3 linked regions of the Macaca mulatta genome follow. The protein of the gene in region 1 interacts with the protein of each later gene in a biochemical or structural test. Links are inferred from orthologs where the notes say so. Each region holds a gene or a part of one and is shown on either strand. Other genes may lie near its edges.

Region 1 (4,080 bases):
GGTTCAGGCGATTCTCCTGCCTCAGCCTCCCGAGTAGCTGGGATCACAGGCGAGTAGCTGGGATCACAGGCGTGTGCCACCACGCCCGGCTAATTTTTTAATGGCCAGGCTGGTCTCGAAATCCTGACCTCAGGTGATCCAACTACCTTGGCCTCCCAAAGTGTTGGGATTACAGGCATGAGTCACCGCGCCCGGCCAATTCCCCTAACATCTTGTAGCCTCGGAGTCAAAGACCTTACTGGTTTTGATAGATACCATCACCACAACAGTCATCAATAAGCACATGAGTATACTAGATCAGGGCTGAGTTATAAAAATTTACCCAAGGAGGTGGTCCCCTAAAAGTAGATTTTTTCTTTCCCCCTGACAGGTCCATCAATAAAGTATCAAGAGATTATCGGCAATATTACAAATCACTGAAGTCTGTGTGGGGTTTTCTAGAAGCTGAGCCAATTATTTACTTAATTGTCTAACGATTAACGACACCCCTTCTGCTTTCTGGGCCTGCGTTTCGTAATCGATGACCTGAGAGGTATAAAGTAATTTCAAAAAAAAAAAAAAAACCACAAAAAACGAAAAACAACAAACCACCCCTCGGAACAGAGGCTTATCATGTGAGCACCCAGACAAGCCAGCTTCAAAATGAGGTGAAAACTACAGTTCCTCTTCCGTTTATCAGAGTTCTAACTGGGACCACCGTGAACCACATCTACTGCCCGAGGGGCAGGGACGGCTGCTTCAGTCCCCGGGCTTCCCGCTCGGTCCCTTCGCACCGCATCTCCCTGAGGCCGCTACTCCCGCCGCGCCCGCCCAGGGAACTGCCCCGCCAGCGTCGTACCCGCAGGTTGGCTCGGAGACCCAGACTCTTGGCTAAGTTCTGCAGGTCACTGTACTTGAGGGAGTCCAGCTCCTCTAGGGAGGGGATGATCATCGCGATTCAAAATCCCGGTGATACTCAGAAGATGGATCACCAAGTCTCGTAAGCGAGGTTCAAATCCCTGGCGCCACTCTTAACTTTGACTAAGCTGAAATTTATAGACAGTTTAAATGAAGAATGCCGCGCTTCCATTGGTTGAAAATGCCTCAAAGGCGGGGTTTCTAACCCTGACCAATAGAAAGGCTGATTTCCCGTCCCAACAGTCGCGCGCTTTTCTCACACTTCACGAATACGCAGGCGCCGAAGGGCCTGTAAGGCCGGTTCAGGTAACGAGTGCGCGGACTGGGACTCCAGTGCTTGGATTGCCCACGATGTCCAATGAGGACGCAGGAGCTGTGCTTGGGGCGGGGCCTGGCGTGTATTCGAAACGACGGCGCCGGCTGAGAGAAGATGGCGTTTCAGCCGCGGCGGCATCGCTCCCCTTGTGCAACGCCGCCCCAGGGTGACTTTTGTGATGGCACTGAGAGGGCGATTGACGAAGCATCTTTTACGACCTCCATGGAGTGGGATACACAGGTGGTGAAGGGGTCCTCGCCGCTCGGCCCCGCAGGGCTGGGGGCTGAGGAGCCGGCCGCCGTCTCGCAGCTGCCGTCTTGGCTGCAGCCTGAGAGGTGCGCTGTTTTCCAGTGCGCACAATGCCACGCCGTGCTCGCCGACTCGGTGCACCTCGCCTGGGACCTGTCGCGGTCCCTTGGGGCCGTGGTCTTCTCCAGTGAGTGCAGTGAGGCGTTCGGGAAAGGCAGAGGCTAGCCCGAGAGGTTGTTCCCGCCTTCTCCACCGGGTGGCAGAGAACCACCTGGGGAAGAAAACGGAATGAAAATTTGGAAGCACATAACTCCTTGGCCTGGGGATGGGGCAGGGAACTGGGGAGTCTCCTGACATTTATGGCGGGGATGAGTCTGTCTAGAGGAGAGATTTTCCATTTCAAGGCCCGCAGAGTATGAGTTCTGACCCGTGTTTGTGTTCCTAGGAGTTACAAATAACGTCGTTTTGGAAGCGCCCTTCCTAGTTGGCATTGAAGGTTCACTCAAAGGCAGGTACGTATTGATAATTACAGATTGGTCTCTAGTCCCTGACTTTATGAGACTGAGGAGCGTGGAACTGACATGTACTTGTTGAGCAAGTCTGTTGACAGCATTTCCTTTTTTTTTGTTGGTTTGATTTTTTTCTTTTTGAGATGGAGCCTCACTCTGTTGCCCAGGCTGGAGTGCGGTGGCGCGATCTCGGCTCACTGCAAGCTCTGCCTCCCAGGTTCACACCATTCTGCCTCAGCCTCCCGAGTAGCTGGGAAGGCATGTGAAGTCATGCCAAATTGTGAATATGAAGAAAAAAATGGGGCCGGGCGCGGTGGCTCACGCTTGTAATCCCAGCACTTTGGGAGGCTGAGGTGGGTGGATCACATGAGGTCAGGAGTTCAAGACCAACCTGACCAACATGGTGAACCCCCGTCTCTACTAAAAATACAAAATTAGCCGGGCATGGTGGCACACACCTGTAATTCCAGCTCTTTGGGAGGCTGAGGCAGGAGAATCACTTGAACCCGGGAGGCAGAGGTTGCAGTGCACTGAGAACACACCATTGCACTCCAGCTTGGGCAGCAAGAGCAAAACTCCATCAAACAAACAAATACATGGAAATTAAAAGTGCTACTCCAGTTATAAGCTGATATGGAGGAAGTTTGAGTGGTATGAGTAGAAGATCAAACCAGCCACAGCATTCCTTTAAACCAAAGCCTAATCCAGAACAAGGCCCTAACTCTCTTCAATTCTGTGAAGGCTGAGAGGTGAGGAAGCTGCAGAAGTTTGAAAGTAGCAAATGTTGGCTAGGTGCAATGGCTCATGCCTGTAGCCCCAGCACTTTGGGAGGCCGAGGTGGGTGGATTGCTTGAACCCAGGAGTTTGAGACCAGCCTGGGCAACATGGTGAAATGCTGTCTCTACAAAATACAAAACAATTTAGCCGGATGTGGTGGTGCACACCTATAGTCCCAGCTGCTTGGGAGGCTGAGAAGGAAGGCTGGCTTGAGCCATAGAGGTCGAGGCTACAGTGGAGCTGTGATTGTGCCACCACACTCCAGCCGGGGTGACAGAGCAAGACTATCTAAAAAAAAAAACAGAGGTTGGTTCTTGAGATTTAAGGAAAGAAACCTTCTCTATAACAAAAGTCCAAAGTGAAACAGCAAGTACTGATGCAGAAGCTGCAGAAAATGAAAGTGGGTACACTAAACAACAGATTTTCAGTGCAGATGAAACAGCCTTCTATTGGAAGAAGATGCCATCTCAGACTTTCATAGGTAGAAAGGACAAGTATTACCTGGCTTGAAAGGAGCTGGTCACAGTGACTCACACGTGTAATCCCAGCACTTTGGGAGACCAAGGTGGGAGGATTGCTTGAGCATAGGAGTTCAAGACCAGCCTGGGCAACATAGCAAGAACCGATCTCTACAAAACATTTAAAAATTAGATGGGCATTATAGTGTGCACCTGTGGTCCAGCTAATTGGAAGGCTGAGGTGGGAGGATCACTTGAGTCTGGGATGTCAAGGCTGTAGTGAGCTGTGATGGTACCACTGTACTCCATCCAAAAAAAAGAAAAAAAAAAGCTTCAAAGGACAGGCTTTCTCTCTTGTTAGGGGCCAATGCAGCTGATGACTTTAAGTTGAAGTCAATGCTCATTTACTGTTACTATCTATAGCTACTATAGATAGTTATTCCTCTGATGGATATGGGCAAAGTAAATTGAAAACCTTCTGGAAACCCAGCTAAATTTTGTATTTTTAGTAGAGACGGAGTTTCACCATGTTGACCAGGCTGTTCTCAAACTCCTGGTCTCAGGTGATCTGCTCGCCTCCCAAAATGCTCAGATTATAAGCGTGAGCCATTGCGCCCGGCCCAGTAAATTAATTTCCACTGACACATTTGTTTATAAGTACTGTGCTTTGTCTGAACTAATTAATTCCTACGTGGAATTTCAAATTAATGACACTTTATTTCACAGTTTGCTTTTTGGTTACCTATATTCACAAGATTACTATATGTGTGGTGTGGGACTTCATTTACCAATAAACCTAATATATTTTGTTATTTGTTCTTTTTTAGTATCCATTGACATGAATATTTCTTTTTAGCTATGTGTTTTTTGTTTT
Region 2 (4,279 bases), on another chromosome or scaffold:
CAGGAGTTCGAGACCAGCCTGGGCAACATACTGAAACATCATCTCTGAAAAAATAAAGGAAAAAAAGCAGAAGGAAGGAAGGGAATTCTATGGGTGGAAAAAAAAAAGCCTAAATTATCTAAAGCATTTTCTTCCAGTAAGAAGCTCATTAACATGAGCATGGTGTGCTAGGGTTTACAAAGTATCTTCATGAATATTAGAAAACTTGATCCTTATGAACAACTTGGTGTAGTACTGAAGAAACAGACTCCATTTACTCCAGGAAGAATCAGACTCAGGAAAAGCAAACAGCCTTTTCCACAGTTCCCTACACTGTTACTACCTTGTGGAGGGAGGGGTAAGTTAACCAGGACCACTGACTCCAAAGCTTTTGCTTTTTGCTAGTGGCTGTAAGTACGTAAATAGTTTATGCAACCAAGCAAAGTAGGCAGTGACTTGGGGGACACCCAGCGCGTAGTGGGAACAGAGGTAGGTCCTTGCAGGTAGCTTTCTTCCCAGGTATGCCACCAGGCTGTCTCCGGTGCATAAAGCTGGCTGGTTCCCCGTCAGCTTTCCCTCCTGACCTATGGTGTTTTAGGCAGAGGCTGGCTTTCTGGGGCAGCTGGGGAAATCTGTCCTTATCATCAAGAAGGGATGCTTCTTCCTTGCAAGGACGAATTATTCCTTGATCCAAGCAGCAGGCACACTTCCAAGCTTTCCAGGGGCATGGCTGCTTCCTCAACTTTTTCCTTGCAGTGACAGCCTGAGTGATCCGGGGCCCTTCCCAGGGTCTCATTCTAGGAATAGCAATGCGCAAAAAGACCCTGTGACGAGGGGCTCCCCTATCCCCTTCCTTCTCCACTTCATGGAAAGGAGGCCCCCAGGAGCAAGTGGAGTCGCTTATATGCAACTATAATTAGTCCATTTACAAAAAAGAAGAAAAAGGGTGGTGGTCTGGCACAGTGGCTCACGCTTGTGATCCTGGCATTTTGGGAGGTCGAGGCGGGAAGATCGCTTAAGGCTAGGAGTTCGAGACTGGCAACATAGAAAGACTCCTCCCCATCCCCCAAAAAAGGTTGGGCTGCCAATACTGACAGCGTGGGCAAGCCTAGGAGCTTGTTAGAAATGCAGATTCTCGGGCTAACCTGCTACCTGCTGAACCAGAGTCTGTGAAGATGGAGCCTGGCGATCTGTTTAAGAAGCTCGCCAGGTGGTTCTTAGACACTCAGGCTTGCAGCCCGTAACTTTCTCAGTGACGCTGCCCCTCCCACGGAAAGGGGTGAATAATCCTTAGGAAGACAAGCAAACAGGTCAGCAGCGTTAATTTCTTCAGGCTAGAAAACCTGACGCAGGCGCAGTGACTAACACGCCAGGCCAAGGGCGCACGGCGCGCATGCGCACTAGAAGCCGCCCGCCGTCCGGCCCCTTCAAGCGTTTGCCCCTTCTCGGCCTCCGCCAACGCGCCCCGCCCCGCGCATGTGCAGCGGCGGGTTTTTTTCCCTTCGCGCTCTGGGGCGCGGGCGATTTGTAGGTAATGGCGGGCGTTCGGGCCCTGAGGTGCAGCAGAGGATGCGCTGGCGGCTGTGAGTGCGGCGACAAGGGCAAGGGCAGCGACTCCTCGCTGTTGGGCAAGAGACTCTCCGAAGACTCGAGCCGCCACCAGCTGCTGCAGAAGTGGGCGAGCATGTGGAGCTCCGTGAGCGAAGACGCGTCGGTGGCCGACACGGAGAAGGCGCGGCTCGAGGAGGCGGGGGCTGCGGAGGAGAGGCCGCTGGTGTTCCTGTGCTGCGGCTGCCGGCGGCCGCTGGGCGACTCGCTGAGCTGGGTGGCCAGCCAGGAGGACACCAACTGCATCCTGCTGCGCTGTCAGTTGGGTCGAGCCGGGCATGGGGGCGTGGGGTCGCCTTCTTCCAGGTGTGCCGCACCGGGGCGGCCCCGGAGGGGGCGGGGGCTCCTTGGCGCTGTCCAGGGACTTTGAGAGCAAAAAGTCTGAGAGTGTGAGCTGTCGCAGGAAAAGGGGAGGAGGGTCACCCCTCCACTTTGGTTCTCGGGCGACTGGTTCTGTTCTGGGCTCCCCGATCCCAGAAGAGCAGCGGTTGAGTCAGCATCATCGTGAGCATTACTCAGAAGCAAAGGGCAACAAAGAATAACACTTTTAAAGACCCTAAAAAAAGAGAAACAAATGGTCAACTAGACTGTAAGCACTTGAGGTGCAGCCAGTACTATTACTCCCCACAGAAATTAGCGGGCTGTGTGTATCAGCGGATACCTCTACAGTCTCCAGTGATAGGGCCGCGGAGCTGACGGAACACAGTGCTATGGGGAAGAAAGGGAAGGAAATTTGCCGTAAAAGCACCACCAACCTCATCAAAATTGGCGAGGAAGGAGGACGTAGTAGCAAAAGAGTTCAGAAGGCGGCGGGAATTCGTTTCTAATCCTCGTCCTAGCAGTTACCTGTTTTTCCACTGTTCCCTCATTTTGCTATTTTTACAGTATTTAGGGATAAAGTGGTTCACATATTTTTTCTGAATTGGTGTAAAAATGGCTGTTGTTTTGGATTGTGGTTTTTCAAGATGAGGTTTTTCCTCTCTTTGAATACTGTAAATGTTTCGATGGCAGAAATTCATCACCGGCTTATCGACGTTTCTGGAACGTTTTCCTTGGTGTAATACTGGGAATAAAGGAGCACACCAGTGTCCCCCTAGTTAACTGAAAGTTGAGATAAACTCTTTGCACCTCTTAAAATCAAACTAGGCCAAGCGCGGTGACTCAGACCTGTAATCTCAGCACTTTGGGAGGCTGAAATGGGCGGATCACGAGGTCAGGAGCTCGAGACCATCCTGGCCAACATGTGAAACCCCATCTCTACTGAAAATACAACAATTCCAGACCACCCTCGCCAAAGCCAAAAATTAACCGGGCATGGTGGTGTGCGCTCATAATCCCAGCTATTCCGGAGGCTGAGGCAGGAGAATCGCTTGAATCAGGGAGGAGGAGGTTGCAGGGGCCGAGATTGCGCCACTGCACTACAGCCTGGCAACAGCGCTAGACTCCATCTCAAAAAAAAAAAAAAAAAAAAAACCAGGCAGATTTTTGATCCAGTAGGAAAAGCTCTTTGAATGAGTTTACCTTGTTTACATCTTTTTAAGAAATAACATGTTTGGTGTTACATCTTTCATTTTATTTGTACTTTGTTTCGATAGTATCTTTTACCATGTGGCCTCTTTTCTTTGTTTTGCTTTACTTATAGAAAGGCAATTATTTTTGTTAATTTTTATATTAATAGTTTTTAAATTTAAAACGTAGTTTTAAAATAGTAAACATAGTTTAAAGAACTATACACTTTTTGATTAATCAGATTTAGATAATAGGATTTAACATCTCCCCGCCCTCCCCCCCACCCCCGTAAAGACAAACATGAATTCCGATTCATTTCCATTCCTTCCTTACCCAATTTGAATTAGTTTAATTATTTTCATTTTGTTAAGGTTTATACATTTACATTCTGTACATTTACATTCTGTTGTAGACATAACAGCCTTACTATGATTTTTTAAAATAGGGTTAATTATTTAATAGATTATTTTTTTAATAGGGTTATAGTGGGTTAACAGCCCTCTGTTGCCCAGGCTGGAGTACAGTGGCACAATCATAGCTCACTGTAACCTTGAATGCCTGCTCAAACTGTCCTCCCAGCTCAGCTTCCCAAGTAGCTTGGGACAACAGACACAAACTAACACCTGGCTAATTTTTAAATGTTTTGTAGAGACAGAGTCTTGCTATGTTGCTCAGGCTGATCTCAAACTCCTGGCCCCAAGCAATCCCCTGCTTCAGCCTCCTAGAGTGCTGGGATTACCAATGTGAGTTAGAGCACCCGATCCTATAATGTTTATATAATTTTTTTTCCCCAACTCCAGTACTCATTAACATAAGAAAGCTTCTTAATAGCTTTTTTCATTCCTGAGTTGTTTGCTTAATCTTTAGTGCTCCCCACGTCCACATCTCCAAGAAAATTTCAAGTTTATGTGCTTGAAAATATTTTCCTGTTTTTATACGTGAATGCTAGCTGGGCTGCGGGTACAGTTCTTGGTCATGCTCTCTGCTTTTGATAGGTGCTGAGCAGCTGGTGCAAAATCCTTGAGACTAGAGTATGGTCAAAGAGAATAAAGATAAGATTTAGGGAGGAAGGAAGAGACCAGAAACTGCAAGACGTTTTAGTCTGTTCTAAAGAGTAGTAATCTGTTCTAGTAAGTACATTATTATGCTAGCTTAGGCAGGGGAGTAATATGACCCTGCATTT
Region 3 (4,010 bases), on another chromosome or scaffold:
CAAATTAAATGTGTAGATCCTGCAACTGGAGAAGACTGAGAGGATGTTTATATAGGGAGGAAGGGAGGGAAAGAAACAGGATTGGTAGGTTACCCCATCCAATTCCGTGGAATTGAGAGCTCGGAAGATAAAGTGGCCCAGGGTTTTCTTCCATCAGACTGAAATAGTACAGCCTTCCTGTTCCCACCTGGATCAGTCACTGGCGCTGGGCCACCCTGGGGCAGCAGGATCTTGGGTGAGGGAGTTCTCTGCAACTGAATCGTCCCAGAATAGGCTGACAACTGAAGGCCCCTGCCAACTGCCCCCCAGCAGCTGTGGCATCTTAAGGGGAATCAGGCCAGCACATCTCTGTGTCCAGCACAACGTAACACATTTTTTTTTTTTTTTTTTTTTTGAGACGGAGTCTCGCTCTGTCGCCCAGGCTGGAGTGCAGTGGCCTGATCTCAGCTCACTGCAAGCTCCGCCTCCCGGGTTCACGCCATTCTCCTGCCTCAGCCTCCCGAGTAGCTGGGACCACAGGCGCACGCCAGCTCGCCCGGCTAGTTTTTTGTATTTTTTAGTAGAGACGGGGTTTCACTGTGTTAGCCAGGATGGTCTCGATCTCCTGACCTTGTGATCCACCCGTCTCGGCCTCCCAAAGTGCTGGGATTACAGGCTTGAGCCACCGCGCCCGGCCCAACGCAACACATTTTGTGGTCACACACACTACATGAGCCCCAAAGTTCTCACGCTCCCCCCACCCCCACCTAAATTTCTGCAGGACATCATGATAGAATTGCCGTGCAGGCTGAAAGGAGGTGAAGATCCCCCTCTAAGGGACCTCTTGGTGCTCAGTAATGCTTTTATTTTCAATCACATACTATGGTAATCACATCAGCACAAGCACACAAATGTGGTTAAGTCACCCTGTGTTTCCTTAGGATTGACATTCCTAAGATGTCAATCACAAATTCCATCAGCCATACTAAAGACTGATTTATCTTGCTCTTCTCTCTGGAGAAAATATTACAAGATTAATATCAATGAAGAAGCAGAATATGCAATCAGAAATACATGGGGGAAAAGGTGGGTTAAAACAAGTATTTTCCTGGATTTTGTGATGTGTATGGCATTTGTCAGCATCTTTAAATGTGTCATTCGTTGAGACTTATTTTTTCTTTCGCTATCCTGCCTCCTTTTGGGTTGGTAATTTGGGGTTGTCTTTCTTAGGCCCCTGCCCTCGAAACCGCGCCGGGATCCCAGGCGGGCGAGTGAGGAAGGCGGCCCCCGCCCGGCGGCGACACCTAGAGCAAGTCACGCAGAAATCTCCAGGCCGTACTTATCTCCGGTGCACAGCGCGGGAGATGACACGCATCCCACCGGATCTCGCACAGCCCCGCTGATTAACAAGCACAGAGCCATTGTAGCAACTTCCACCCACTTCGGCTACCGGAGACCGACCCTCCCTTCCGCCGGACACGCTTCTTGGGGCGTGGCTGGAAACTCGGGCGTGGATTGGCCGGGAGGAGGGATGCAAATTTGTTTGAAAGGCCCAATCAGCGCCCGGCTTCTCCGCGCTGGCCAATAGAAAACCGAGAGGAAGGCAGGAAGGGCGAAGTCGCTTATTTGAGTGTGCGGCGCGCCGGGCCCTGCGGTCCGGGTCGCCGCTGGGGTAGCGGTTAAGTCTGCGGCTTGGTACGATTCTGGGTCCGCTGCGCACCATGGAGAGCGAGGACGTGGAAGACGACCCGCTGCTGCAGAAACTCAGGGCCAGTCGCCGCCGCTTCCAGAGGCGCATGCAGCTACTGATAGAGAAGGTGCGGCCCCCGCCGGTCCGCCAGGAGGGGAGGCCTGCGGGTCGGAGTGAGGCTGGGAGGGGACGTAGGACGGGAAGGGAAGGGGCTCTGAGGGCTCGGAGCGGGTGCTGGGGAAGCGGGACTGGGGCTTGGGTGCGGAGAGAAGGTGGAGGCGGAGCTGGGGGCTCCAGAGAGGGAAGGAGGAGGCAGCGCCGAAGGCTTCGGAGCGGGGACGGGGAGGAAAGACTGCGGCCTCCGGAGCGGGGAGTGGGGAAGCGGGACTGGGGCTCGGGTGCAGAGAGGAGGGTTTGGTGGGGCTGGGGGGCTCCTGAGTGGGACGAGAGAGGCGGGGTTGCGGACTCCGCTGCGGAGACCGCGATTGGGGCGCCCCCGGCCAGACTAACGGCCTCTCGCGGGCTGGCGCCGCCTCCGCCGGGGTCTGAGGCCCCTGGGACCTGACAGGAAACCCCTCCTCCTCCACAGTACAACCAGCCCTTCGAGGACACCCCGGTGGTGCAAATGGCCACGCTGACCTACGAGACGCCACAGGGTAAGTGTCATCCTCGCCTTCTGAGTATTCGGGTGAAGAGTGCGAATGGAGTAGTTGAAATGCTGTCACTGCTGTTTTAGGAAGTAAACATTGTTCACCTAATAGGAACCAAAACATTGGTGCCCTTAAACCTGTAAATTACTTGGATTACTTATTAAAACAATTCCTGAAGAGACATAGGTGCCTCCTGGCTCGCACGCCTCCGGCTTGCCGGGTTGGCATCCCCGCTGGCCATCTCCACACCATGGCAGCTCGGGGCAGTTGCTTAGCTGGACTGGTCTCAGTGTCTTCATCTGTGAAATGGGAAGGATGCTGACAATAATGTCTCCTGGGCAGGGGTGTTGTAACAGTTACGTACAATCCCTGTGAAACTCTGGGAACAGTACCCACCCTCCACTGCCAATACTCACTTTGACTATTGTTTGCCCTGTTTAACTTGGAGTAGTAACTGTCTTCCTTGAGGCTCCAAGTACTTGAATAGGGAGAAGGCATTCCGTTTAATAGTTAATGTAACGGACTGAAATCTTGTGGATTCTTTTTGGTAAATAGCTGGTGACAGTTTGCACTGGCTGGGGTCAATTCCTCCCGTATAGCTTTATAACTAACTCAGTATCACTTAATGAAAACAAACCTCACAGCACGTTCTGTGTTGCATTAAACAGACGGGCACAAAAGGTTCACAAGATCTGCTCCTTGAATTAAAAGAAATCCTACCTTTCCGCCTTTATAGGCAATCCAGGCGCATCTTGGGTGAAAAGTTTACATAGGCAGAAACTAAAATATTCCAGTGGCAGGTCTCTGTATAACATGTAGATTGCCCTTAGAAAGCATTCATTCCGTATATGGGATGTAGAGATTGCCTGCGAAAAGTGCTTACTCCCTCTAAATAGTATATAGATTGTCCTCTCTTTATGTATTTTAAGGACAGTTGCTGTCACATATGTTCCTTGTTTTCATGTAACTCTTTGGGCTAATGATGTAATTTGATGAGCCATTGCCTAGTAGGTAAGAGAGAGTTCCATCAATGACACATTTGCCTTAAAAACCTGAAACTTTACAAAGAGGAACAACAGCAGGGTATCAGAAGCCTGGCTTGGTTTTAATTTTGTACCTTTTTTTTGCCTGTCACTTTGGCTTCCAGTGAACACAGATTGAGCAGAAGTTCAGCGTTCAGGATTATGTCAATGGTCATTTTTGTTTCTTTTCTTCAGGATTGAGAATTTGGGGTGGAAGACTAATAAAGGAAAGAAACGAAAGAGAGATCCAGGTATTTAGTGTCAAATTTTATTGCCACATAACCTTGCTGTGGAGGAGCATTGATGTGAATAAAGGTGTGGGTGTGCCCAACCTCTGAGCTTATGCAGAGGCCACCACGGGGCACTTCTCACCTTGATTATACTCTTTTTCTGTTTTTAAGGATTTAGAAGCGTTTCTTCTGTAGCTTGTCAAGTGCAAGGAGGCACTGTGTAATGTTTGGCCTTTTGTGTCACCCTGTGTTTCCTGTGTCACAGGCTGAGGGGCTCTGATAACACACATGCAGAGGCTGGGCCAGCTGGGTAACCCTCCCCAAGGCCACGTGCCAGCCCAGCGAGGGGCTCACAGAAAAGACCAAATCCAGTTCCTTCTAGGGAAGAAGAATGTCTCTCTTCCTGTTTTGAAATGGGAGGAAGAGAGATGAGGGGAGG

What was found.
Region 2: the proteins of OIP5 (region 1) and MIS18A form a complex in vitro, tested with the Homo sapiens proteins (3 studies listed by BioGRID). The link is inferred for Macaca mulatta from reciprocal best matches to the Homo sapiens genes OIP5 and MIS18A.
Region 3: the proteins of OIP5 (region 1) and HJURP form a complex in vitro, tested with the Homo sapiens proteins (2 studies listed by BioGRID). The link is inferred for Macaca mulatta from reciprocal best matches to the Homo sapiens genes OIP5 and HJURP.

Annotation. Positions count from the first base shown.
Region 1 is NC_133412.1:18,677,401-18,681,480, reverse strand, and holds the start of OIP5 (protein Mis18-beta), read left to right. Parts: upstream 1-1,280; 5' UTR 1,281-1,327; coding exon 1,328-1,649; exon of another isoform or gene 1,650-1,733; intron 1,734-1,907; coding exon 1,908-1,974; intron 1,975-4,080. Other genes in the region: NUSAP1 (nucleolar and spindle-associated protein 1), read right to left, coding at 839-931. UniProt on the Homo sapiens protein: Required for recruitment of CENPA to centromeres and normal chromosome segregation during mitosis.
Region 2 is NC_133408.1:15,067,790-15,072,068, forward strand, and holds the start of MIS18A (protein Mis18-alpha), read left to right. Parts: upstream 1-1,478; 5' UTR 1,479-1,513; coding exon 1,514-1,844; intron 1,845-4,279. UniProt on the Homo sapiens protein: Required for recruitment of CENPA to centromeres and normal chromosome segregation during mitosis.
Region 3 is NC_133417.1:139,127,726-139,131,735, reverse strand, and holds the start of HJURP (Holliday junction recognition protein), read left to right. Parts: upstream 1-1,209; 5' UTR 1,210-1,700; coding exon 1,701-1,796; intron 1,797-2,258; coding exon 2,259-2,325; intron 2,326-3,536; coding exon 3,537-3,592; intron 3,593-4,010. UniProt on the Homo sapiens protein: Centromeric protein that plays a central role in the incorporation and maintenance of histone H3-like variant CENPA at centromeres.